3 linked regions of the Caenorhabditis elegans genome follow. The protein of the gene in region 2 purifies or fractionates together with the protein of the main gene of each other region. This does not show direct contact. Each region holds a gene or a part of one and is shown on either strand. Other genes may lie near its edges.

Evidence for each region.
Region 1: the proteins of T27F6.6 (region 2) and gly-13 fractionate together in Caenorhabditis elegans (co-fractionation; one large-scale study listed by BioGRID). This does not show direct contact.
Region 3: the proteins of T27F6.6 (region 2) and pfkb-1.1 fractionate together in Caenorhabditis elegans (co-fractionation; one large-scale study listed by BioGRID). This does not show direct contact.

The regions. Positions count from the first base shown.
Region 1 is NC_003284.9:9,294,998-9,298,751, forward strand, and holds the start of gly-13 (Putative alpha-1,3-mannosyl-glycoprotein 2-beta-N-acetylglucosaminyltransferase), read right to left. Parts: upstream 1,626-3,754; 5' UTR 1,596-1,625; coding exon 1,512-1,595; intron 1,466-1,511; coding exon 1,307-1,465; intron 1,132-1,306; coding exon 1,087-1,131; intron 1,040-1,086; coding exon 984-1,039; intron 933-983; coding exon 824-932; intron 775-823; coding exon 630-774; intron 585-629; coding exon 475-584; intron 420-474; coding exon 340-419; intron 93-339; coding exon 1-92. Other genes in the region: B0416.7 (uncharacterized protein), read right to left, coding at 2,013-2,064, 2,135-2,241, 2,551-2,647, 2,782-2,924.
Region 2 is NC_003279.8:12,488,915-12,492,668, reverse strand, and holds the start of T27F6.6 (Putative neutral sphingomyelinase), read right to left. Parts: upstream 1,694-3,754; 5' UTR 1,690-1,693; coding exon 1,596-1,689; intron 1,338-1,595; coding exon 1,070-1,337; intron 423-1,069; coding exon 215-422; intron 1-214. Other genes in the region: pars-2 (putative proline--tRNA ligase, mitochondrial), read right to left, coding at 1,874-2,059, 2,276-2,461, 2,843-3,241, 3,528-3,754. UniProt on the Caenorhabditis elegans protein: Catalyzes the hydrolysis of sphingomyelin producing a ceramide (N-acyl-sphingoid base) and a phosphocholine. C.elegans contain specific sphingoid bases, which are unique or different in structure compared to the sphingoid bases found in other animals.
Region 3 is NC_003279.8:5,129,677-5,133,430, reverse strand, and holds the start of pfkb-1.1 (6-phosphofructo-2-kinase domain-containing protein), read right to left. Parts: upstream 1,912-3,754; 5' UTR 1,910-1,911; coding exon of another isoform or gene 1,892-1,909; coding exon 1,834-1,891; intron 1,528-1,833; coding exon 1,402-1,527; intron 1,348-1,401; coding exon 1,245-1,347; intron 1,189-1,244; coding exon 1,122-1,188; intron 1,065-1,121; coding exon 921-1,064; intron 873-920; coding exon 612-872; intron 105-611; coding exon 1-104. Other genes in the region: Y110A7A.7 (Fungal lipase-type domain-containing protein), read right to left, coding at 2,384-2,513, 2,563-2,732, 2,895-3,206, 3,269-3,385, 3,443-3,652.

The sequences.
Region 1 (3,754 bases), on a different chromosome or scaffold from region 2:
TGCATTGACGATCTTTACGCCGTGCAGGGTCTCGCATCCAGTCATCCCAAAATCCTACAGGCCAAATTGGTTCTAGTTCATGCCACGTTTTCCTGAAAATATAAAAAAATCACAGCTCAAAATTAGCATAAACATTTTGCAGAAATTAAAATCGTAATTTTTGAAATTGTAAGTTCGGTTCTCTGGAAAAAAGTGTTAAGCCTTTCGAAAATGTTACAGATTTCGACAGACAAAATAGTTTCGAAAAATTCTTATAACTCCCTAGTTTCATTATTCTCAGAAAAACATGATATTTCTGTAATAATGACTGATGAGTAAAAATAATTTTCCGAAACTCACGAAGACATCATCCAGCCAAGTCCTGCAAAGAAGTCACTTCTGTACAACGTAGAAGCCGCAGTCATGTCAATATTCTCTTGCTGAAAAAACATATTTTCAGCAACAGTCAATTAAATTTAAGATTGTATTATTCACTTTTCCATTGTCGTTCCAGGCAGTGACGCACCACAATTTCTCATCGTTTTCCAGCAAATATCGCGTACTTGAGAAGTACGAGAAGAAGTCTGGCGAAATGTCGAGATCGTCTGTAATTTTAGTTTATCTAAAATGAAATCAAATGATCACCTTGCCTTCTGTAATAATGACTGATGAGTAGCCCTTATCAACAAAAACGTGATTGAGCGCCAATTTGTAATGACGTGCTATGCGGTAATAAGCGGTGTACTGTCGGTGACTGGGTGGAATTGTGATATTCGCTTTATCGCCGGCCAAATGCTGAAATTATATGAAATTGAGATTGCAGACAGAGATTTTTGAAATCTACCTTAATGTACTCCACTTTGTCTCCAAACTTCTTCACTTCGTTCTTCACATTTTCATTATCACAGTCTTGGGTAACAATGATTGGGAACTTCTCCTGACTTGGTCGGTACCTGGAAACATACTTAATAAAAATTATTGCAAAAATAACTATGGAAAGGTACCTGATAAGTTTCTCAACATGGTCTCTCACTGCCATCGCACGATTACAGGAGAAAACCTGGAAAGAACTCAATTATTTTGAAAAGAAACTCCGAATCTGCATACCAAAACCGGAATGGGGTCTTTCCATTGCTTCAAATCTTGAGAAACCTGAAATTTTGAAATGGTACATTTTTTATTAAAAATTTTTTTATAAATTTGGAGTTCGCAGTTACTCTCGAAGATCATTGAAACCCCTGTTAGCATCAATTCAGTTTCACATGGCAAAAATAGATTTATTGTAACTCTGAATTCAGTTTTGAAATTTCAAAATTTAAACCCTTACCATTTCTTCCATTATCACATGTTTTCCCTTCCTGTTTGCCCTTATTTTGTGCACATCTTCCGCCAACGCAGCAATCTTCTTTGCCTCAAACTTCAATAACCGCTCCAATCTATTCGCTGATTCCAGTAAATCATCAATATTATCCGTATTTCTGGTTCTCTAAAGCTTGGTTTTTATATATTTTTCGAATTAAATAAAAACTTACATTTGTTATATCATTTTCTACGTAGAGCGTCCATAAAATAAATACAAATATGAAAATGATAAAGATTTTTGTCACCGCATGCATGATTTTAGGTGGAAATATGTACACATCCGCCTGAAAATTATTAATAAAAATATACCTTTTAATATTTGAAAAATACAAATAAATATTGCAAAAAAAAAACCACGGAAAAACAATAAATGTTAATAATATTTGGTTAATAAACCGCAGTTTGACGTGGTTTCGGTGAGACTCCTCCCCCATGCAACCCGCCGCATGGTGTTTTGCCACTATGCCGCACACAACTGGGTGACACGCTATTTATTGAGGACGCAAAACCCCACCGCTAATCCCGTAGTTTATGCAGTATTTTGCAAGATTTCGATATGGTGCATGTAATTGCTTTGTAAAAGTATAAATCGCTGATTTTACATTAGTCTGATTCTTGAATTTTATTTTCGAAAAAGAAGCAAAATAAAAAAATTGTGAAAGATCGTAAAATTATTGTGAATTATTCGTATTCAAGTTCAAATGTTGGCGAATAGGAGCGTGTCTGAAAAAATTATTGAATTTAGCTGAAAGTAAAGTTCTATTAAAGCTTATTTAAACTTTATTTGACTTACACAGTTGGAGCCTTCGGAAGCGGAATTCTCCAGATTCCCGTTTTGAAGACAGTTTCAGTGTTGCGACTGCAGTTATGGAATACAACCATTTGGAGTTCAAAATTACGCTGAAATTTTTTTTGGAATTCTTATCAAATATTGTTTATAGTTTAAAAAAAATTTCCAGCATTTTAGTATTATTGCCTACGTAACAGCTTAACTGATATATGTATTTTACTGTGATTTAACACTGACAAAAAATATGAGAATCATGGAAAATAAAATAAACTGTGGAATAATGTTATTGATATGAAGGAACTATTAAATAAATAAAAATTTAAACTCCAACGTTTACGCATGTTTGCCAAAAATTGAATCACTATTTTTACTTGCTTCTAATCATTTGACTTGTTACCAATTCAATTTTTAAAACCTACGTCCAGAAGTCCATCATTTTCTTGCACTCCTCCAATATCGTAAGTTTGAGTAACTTCATTTGAACAAAAATCAACTGAGGCAACTCCGTCGTCGACTCTAAAATGTGTTTGTAATACATAGAAGATTTACATTTAAATTTAAATTTAAATTTTTTTTCTAAATTTAAATTTTTACCATGGAAAATAATTTCTCTCAATGTATGCAACATTTGCTAATCTGATAAAACTCACAATGTATCAACTTCTATAACACGAATTCTTACACACCATGGGGCGTTACTTTTGCAATACACAGTTCCAGTAAATTGAAACTTATTTTCATAGCTAAGAACTCCAATGCATAAACAAGAGATAATAGCTGTTGAAAGATTCATCATTTCTTAATCTGTAATGTCAAACAATAAAAAAAATAAAAACAATTTGTGAGCGAGAAGAAGTGGTCTTTCTCGTAATTGATATTGTCGATTCAAGAGAACTTGTTCTCAAGTAGCTATGACCCAGCCTTGCCAATGGAAATGACGGTCACTAATAGCATCGTTGCAAGATCAAAAATTACGTTTCATTTCGAAAAATTAAATGATGAGAGATCTCGTGACATTTTTGTTTTGTAATTGGAGTGTTGAAATAGTGTATAGCAGAAAACTATCATTGAAATACATATATTTTCAGTCAAACCATGAAGAATCGGGAGAAAAGACAAGTCCAATATCATGTTTCTAATGGTTAACAGACCGAAATAAAAATTACTATTGCGCAGGGCTAATGTGAGACAATTTTTTGGTTTGAAAAACTCAAACTGTTGCCAATTTGCTTGGCTGCCCAATAGATTTTCCAGCCTTGGGTTGCGCCAGTAGGAAAAATTACTTTTAGCTAAAATGACTGCATGCAATAAAAACGTTGGCAAATCCTTTTTTTAGTCTTGTTTCAGTCAAAAAATGTGAACTTCTCGGTTTTTGCAACACATACTTTGTAAATCAACCAAATCCCAAAACCGTCTGACATTCTATGTCGTTAGTAGATTTTATTGAAGATATCATAATTATTGGTGTTCAGTTTTAAATGGTTGGAGACTTTTCAAATAAAACTTATCAAATATCGGGGTCGCACGCTTTTTTGCCGCAAAAGAATAAATGTGAAAAATACAGTTTTTATTAAACCTTTATGTTCATTTTTCCGGCACAGATTTCAAACCGTGAATATCGAC
Region 2 (3,754 bases):
CGAAAAATTGACTCGAAAAATCAAATTCCCAGCTGCAAATGCGCTCTAATGCATAATTATCAATAGAGCGCACTTGCAAGAAGTCCTATGGATTTTTTGGCGGGAATTTGAATTTTTGAGTTAAAAACTGCGAAATCTTGATGGAAAAATTAATTTTTTGAGTAAAACTTCCTAAAATATTGATTTTTTCTGAATTTTTCGAGTTTTCAAGCACCTGCGCGGTTCTGTGCGGCAAATAGAGATCATTTTCACGATCGTACTCCGCGTGAAGATGTGTTGTGTAGAAATTGACGCGCAAATCGCCGTCAATCTCGATTTCGGTAAGCCCGACAACTTTTCCGCCGAACCAGTCGCCGCGGTGAATGTGATGAGCGAATCCGTTGAGAGAATATCGATTTGTTAAAGTGGATACGATTGGGTGTCTGAAAATATGGAAAAAAATTGGAGAAGATTTGATGAAAATTCGGAAAAATTTTTTTTTTTGGATATTATATTATATTAAATTTTATTAATATTAAAAGGATATTATATTAAACGTAATTTTGTTCAGTTTTATCCTTTTAACCCAAATATTCCACAAATTTCTAAAAATTTAACAAAATGTTTGAAAAAAACCGAAAATTTTTTCAATGTGAACAAGTGGCGCAGTGGGATTTTCGATGGCTACCACCAAACTGAAGACCGGGGTTCGACCCCCCACGGTGGCAACTATTTTTTGTTTTGCAGAAATTAGATTCTAGACGTTGTAAAATGAGCAGGAAACTGTTTTTAGTGAAGGTTTAGAGTTGAGATTTGGATTTTTCGAAAAAAAATTGTCATATTTTCAGAAAAAATTACATGTTTTCAGAAAAAATTTTTAAACTAATTTTGTGGGAATGCTAAGATTTTTAAGTTAAAAAAAAAACTTTTGCAGCGTATGCACAATAAATCAAAAAATGTTGCCTTAGTGGGGACTCGAACCCCGCTCTTCAGATTGGTAGTCGGCGGAAATCCCACTGCGCCATTCGGACAACTTTCGGAAAAAGTAGGATTTTATCGATTTTTTAAATCTTTTTGTAGAAAAAATCACCTAGAAAACACACAGACACCACTGCCAGTGAATCCCGAGTGAAAATAGTGAAAATACGGATAAACCGACGAGACTTGCTCGCTGAGTCGCACAAAATCATAATATGACCAGAGCTCCTGGAGCCCGACAATGTCGTAGAGCTCATCAATCATGTATTGGCCGATTTTATTCAGTCGGTGAACTCGATCCGTAGATCCGATGGGCCAGGGTTGTGGGAGACACCACGCGTTAAGGGTAACCACACGGAGTTGACGAGCAGCCACGTTATCTGCAAAAAATCGATAATTCGGGAGGGAAAATCGTGAAAAATTAGATCCCTGATTGAAAATTAAGCTAAAATACGCGCAAAACTAGCGAAATATCAATATTTTGATTCAGAAATTTGAAATTCCCGCCGATCCTGCTGCAATCGCGCTCCAACGACAGTTTTCTCATTGGAGCGCATTTGCACAGTGCAGTCGGTAGAAAATTCAAATTCTTGGGTGAAAAACTTGAATTTCAGCCGTTTTTTTTCCAATTTTCTCACTTCTTCTCAACGCGGCGAATGATTCCCGGCGGAAAACCGGCTCCATGTCGACTTTCTGACTTTCCTGGGACTCTTGCTCGCTGGATGGCTCCATTAGCCTGGAATATGGGCTTAAATTCGTGTTTTGAAGGGCAAAATAGGTATAAAAAGGTTCGAAAACCTCAAAAAACACTAGAAAGAGTCTAAAAATCACATTTTTTCAGGAAAAAACAAGAAAATCAAAGAAATGTAACAAAAAAACCATAGAAATCTCCTAAAAATCAAATTTTCAACAAAATTCAATGCTGATGAGATCCGAGTTGATCAAGTACTTGATTATGTGCCAAATGACCAGAATCGTGTGCTCCGCCACCTCCATAAAGCGTAGATTGCACAAAAGTCACGAAACGGTCCAAGCTCATTGAGCCCTGAGACATGGGCTCCGCAGACTTGGCGTGTGTCGTGAATACCTCGATGACGGGCTTCTGAAATAGGGGAAAATTGGCTTAAAATTGTGTTTTTTTAGGCTGCAAATGCGCTCCGATGTGAAAATTATCATTGGAGCGCATTTGCAGTAAACGAGCAGCGGAAAATTTGAATTTTTTGCTGAAATTTTCAAATTTTCGCCTATTTTCTCCCGTTTTTTCGTGGAATTTCCGCTTTTTCTTTGCTGAAAAAATGGAATTTTCGACCGTTTTTACCTGCGTAGCAAGACTCCGCTCCGTCTCGTTCGCAATAACGAGAATAAATGGAATTCCGAGTCGATTTGCGTCGTGAATTCGCTTTCCGGCCGACATTTCCACACGATCGTCCAATAAAATGCCTCCTTTTAGATAACGAGAAGCCGACGAGCTCGCCATTTCCACAATCACATTCGACATGAGGCTCTGCAAGGAAAATTGGTTGAAAAATTAATTTTTTAAACATTTTAGAGCAAAAATCGCCAAAAAGCGTCAAAAATCATCTCAGAAATTCACATTTCTTGTCGATCACAGGTTGCAAGTGCGCTCTAATGATATTCTATTCGTTTTTTCTCCAAAAAAATCATTTTCAGTAGGGAAAATCGAAAAAAAAAAATTTAACACGAAAATGGCAGTTTTCTCAATGGAGCGCAGTTGCGTCATGCGGTCGGCGGGAAATTTGAATTTTTGAGTTGAAAACTAAGATTTTATCGAATTTTCTGGATTTCGCAGTGAAAAATCTTGATTTTTCACGATTTTTTAGCGAAAAATTCGATTTTTCTCAATTTTTTCTCCAAAATTGCTCACTTTCTTTACAATAATCACAGCATCGAACGGAGCGATAGCTCTGGGCAGTCGGAGAGCCTTATCACTAACTGATAACAAATCAATTGCCGCCGGAAGAAGCCGTGTTACACCAATTCCAAAACAGCACATATCCAATGGTTTTCCTTGAAATTTGGCTCCGAGAGCTTCTGAATATTTGGTGCCGAGGTGGAATGTGTGCGCAATTTCGACGGATGGGATTTTTTGCACAGTTTTTGATGAATTTTCAGCACATTTTTCACATTTCGCCGGCCCTGGACCTTCGAATTTGTTGTGATTTTTGCAATTTTCGCAGAAATTCACAAAATCCTCCTCCAAACTGCTTTTCAGGTGATATTCATGACTTATATGACCTCCATGTACTCCGGAATCTGCTTCCACCTGAAAAATTTTGGATTTCTGTCGTTGGGGCGCGTTTGCAGCAAAATTTAAGCCTAAAATTCAGATTTCCCGCGGATCGCACGTTGTAGATGCGCTCTATCGACAATTCGCAATAGAGCGCACAAGCGACATGCGGTTGGCGGAAAATTTGAATTTTTGGGTTAAAACTCGAGTTTTCAACGATTTTAGACTAAAAATGAGTCAAAACTTGCCAATTTTAGCTCAAAATTTTGAATTTTTGAGTCTAAAAATCGATTTTTCTACTTTTTTTAAATGAAATTTTCACCTTAATCACATCCTCGTCCAACTGCAAAATCTCTCCAAAAATTCGATCATAAATCTGACGAATCTGTGCATATGTTTGTTGAGATGTCTCCGCATCAGTGGAAAACGAATACATATCCTTCATTAGAAATTGACGCCCACGCATTAATCCGAATCTCGGATTCATTTCATCGCGAAATTTTTCACCGATTTGATAGACAATAAGGGGAAATTGTGATTTTTTGAGCG
Region 3 (3,754 bases), 7.4 Mb from region 2:
TTTTCGAAGTATTCGCGAAGTTTTCCAGCGTAATTTAAACCATTTTCACTGAGTGGGGAATCACCACCAAGACGACCAATTCTGTTGTACTCACTTTCTCCATGCTGTAATAAATTTTTTAAAGGGATTTTTAAACTATAAAAGTTTAAAAATACTTGATAATTCTCAGTGCTGTTAATTGAATGAATTATATCCCAGAAACGGAATTTTGTGCCAAAAAAACCGGTGTCCGGTCTTGACACGACATTTTTGTTAAATGAAAAAAGGCATCACCTTTAAAGAATACTGTAATTTCAAACTCTCGTTGCTGCGGAATTTTCATTGATTTTCTTTTTTTTTCACGATTTGTTAAAATTCAAGTTTTTTTACGGGCTCTCTTAGCTTGTTTGGTAAAAAAATATTAATTTATCAAAAAGTGAAATAAAAAATAAAAACGTTTTTACAGCAAATCGTGAGAAAACTGAAACTCAATGAAAACTCGGCAGCAAAAAAAATGAAACTACAGTAGTTTGTAAAGACGCACACTTTTTGGCATTTAATAAAAATTTTCGCGTCGAGACCTGTTACCTATTTTTAGCGCAAAATTTTTTCGGTTTTTTTGTTAAACTTACTCTTGACAAATAAATACTTCTTGGAAGAAGATGAATATTCATCAGGAAATACACAACACGACTCTGCACATGACCATTAACATTGTGAACATAGAAGGATTTTCCGGCATTGATAACTTTGATATAGCTCAGCTCTTCATCATGATCCTCATCAAGTGGCTCATATTGCATTCGATAGTTCTCGATACGCTTCAAAAAGTCTTCTTTTGCTTCCTCTTGAGACATTATTCCTTTATAATCTGGCGAATTGATTTTCACTTCCTGAAAATATGCGGGTTAAGGTGATTATTTTGAAGATCTAAAGGTTACCGTGATATTCGAGTTGATAATATCAGGATCATCACAAACAGATTCCACAAAGAAGACACGGAATGGTGGCTCGTGCATCATATTTCTGCAAAACTCCATCAGAAGCTTTCGTCGGTCTCTTGTAGTATTTGTCGCGTCGAGAATCTGAATAAAAAGTTTATGTCTATATATTTTTTTGAAATTTTTTCCTTTGTAACTCACCGCCACTTCTCCTTCCTTGTTATCCAAGTACCTTCCCATATCTTCAATGGCTAATTTCGCGCACTCACTGAAAATTCAGGAATTTTTTTAATTTTTTTTCTTCATAGTTTCGTAAAATCTCACTCTCGGATCTTTTGACCTCTGGCGTTGTTTGGCGAGAAGAACTCATTTTCGCCTTCTTCTTCCAAATTACACGCTCTTCTTCTGTACTCGCCGACATTGAATGCTGTAATTTTGATTTTTTGTTTCATGTCGTACATATAATCGAATCAGGACCAACCTTTGGTCTTAATTCCAATCCAGTTGAGGTAACGACACAGTTTGTGTGAGATGTATGTTTTGCCACGTGCCGGCAGTCCGACAAGTGCGATGACGTTTGGAACTCGAACCTGCTCGTTTGAGTTGTCTGAAAATTGAGATTTTTGAGAAGACAATGTGGAATGAAAATAAAATAGGGCTAATCGATCAATTTTATGCACTTTTTCAACTCAAAATGCGTCCAAAACGGCTCAAAATTTCGAAAAAAAATGGGCTATTTGATTTTAGCTAAAATCTTCAATTTTGCCAAATTTTCCATGTCGAAACGGACGGAAATCAATTTTAATTGAAATTATGTGAAATAAACTATCTTTTTAAATTTCGCTCATTTGGGCACATTTCGAGTCTAAAAGAGCAAAAAAAAATGGTAAGTCCTCTTTTAAAGTAAACTGACCACTCTTCGGCACGAAATACGTCATTTTGCGCTGCGGTACGCCGGCTGGCCCAGGCATCTCGTTCTCCTGCAACATTTCTAGCCGAAATGATATCGTCTCTTATCAAAATGATTCCGAAGACAAAGGCTTATCATTTTAATCAAATATTAAGAAATCAATAATAATATTATTGCGCCGGAGAGAAAGAAAAACAGGCAATGATAGAGAGAAAGAAAGAAAGAAGGTTCGTGTTATGAATGGGAAGAAAGTAGACACAATCTTCCATAACAATAAAGTAGGAAACCGAAAACGAAAAGAAAAATAACCAACAATTCATTTTCTGTGTTCAACCATCCCTTTCTTTCTCTCTTCTCCTCCCTTGTTTCTTCTTACACTCGAGTTCGCGGGTGTCTTATCTTCTTTGGCGCCTCCTCTCTCTCTCCAATAAAAAGAAAGTCCTGAGAAAATATACGTGACACACGGAAGCGAGAATATTCTCTCAAACCGACTTTTCAACAGTTGAAACGACGAGAAAAAGAATCGCAATTCAATCAACATTTTTAAATTTATTTAAACATTTTCATTATTTATTAATGGTTCATCATCCGGTGGGTCTACACATCCATTAACACCGTAATCTGAGACGTGGTGTCCAAAGTAGAACAGGTGATCGTTGATGTCAAAGTAGCGATGAGTGTTGCTGTAAGAGAAGATTTTCTTATCACGTGATTTCGATCACTGTCACTTGCCTGCACAAATTGTCCTCGTTCAATGGAGTCCCGGTGCAAACTTTGAACGTATCTTGACTTGTCATGTTTCCAGGAAACCAGACTTCGACTCCATGGTGATAGGATCCATGATTGTAGAATGGTATACACCATCTGGCATAGCTTTCCACGCAGAACGGAATATGTGCAACCTAGAAAAAAAACTTTTAATAGTCTTTTGAAAGAGGATATTTTGAACCGCCAGAAAAAAATTTCGAACTTGTTTGAGAAGTTTCATTACGAAATTCGCTCATTTGGGTGCATTTTGAGCCTAATAAAGCATTAAAAAAATCTTAAATATTAGTCTCCCTCACAATATCTCTTCCATGAATCAGTCTCCAGCTTCCTCCAGCAACTAATTTGTCATGTGTCATGGCATATTCGAGATTTCCAACTCTAGGCTGTCCGAATGTGATTGAAAAGGTTCGACTCGACGTTTCGGGAAAGTTTCTAACGAAAACAGTCGATGCAATACTTGCAATAGCTCCGCCCAATGAGTGTCCTGTGAACACAATTTTATGATCTGGAAGTGAGTCTTTCAGTCCTCGCAGTAGTTTTTCCATTGGTGACCACATTGTTTTTAGAGCAGAGTAGAAGTAATAATGAACTGATCCAGCATTGTGCAACTGTAAAATAAGTTTTCTTTGCTCTGTGAGTACTCAGACAAACACTTGAAACATGAGCCTACTTTGTGCTTTGGCCGACCAATGCTTTCGATAAGTTCAGTTACCAGCTGCTCTTTCGATTTTGTTCCACTGAAACTGACGAATATTGTGTCGTTGTCGGCAGCAATCACACTCCAGCACTGGAAAAAATTAAATCAGATGATTTTTGAATATTTAAAGATCTCATGATCTTTTACCTCGTCACGCATATAATCGCACTCCACCTTTTTGAAAAACAATAAAGTCGCATTGTTTTTCGAGATGCAAGGTTCCGGATCGATGGAATACGCAGCCGCTGCGAATTCCAGAGTTCTCTTGCTCAATTCATAGTCAAAATCTCGATTTACTTTCTTGCAATCAGCTAGAAAGAAGAAAAGACATGAAAAAAGAGCGAACCCGTTTCGCATATGGGTCGAAATTCCGATCGAAAATCACTGAGACCTGGAGAGGAAAATTGGGAGGATTGAGAGTTGTTTACGAGGTGAAAAGTTGTTAGATTGGATAAGTGT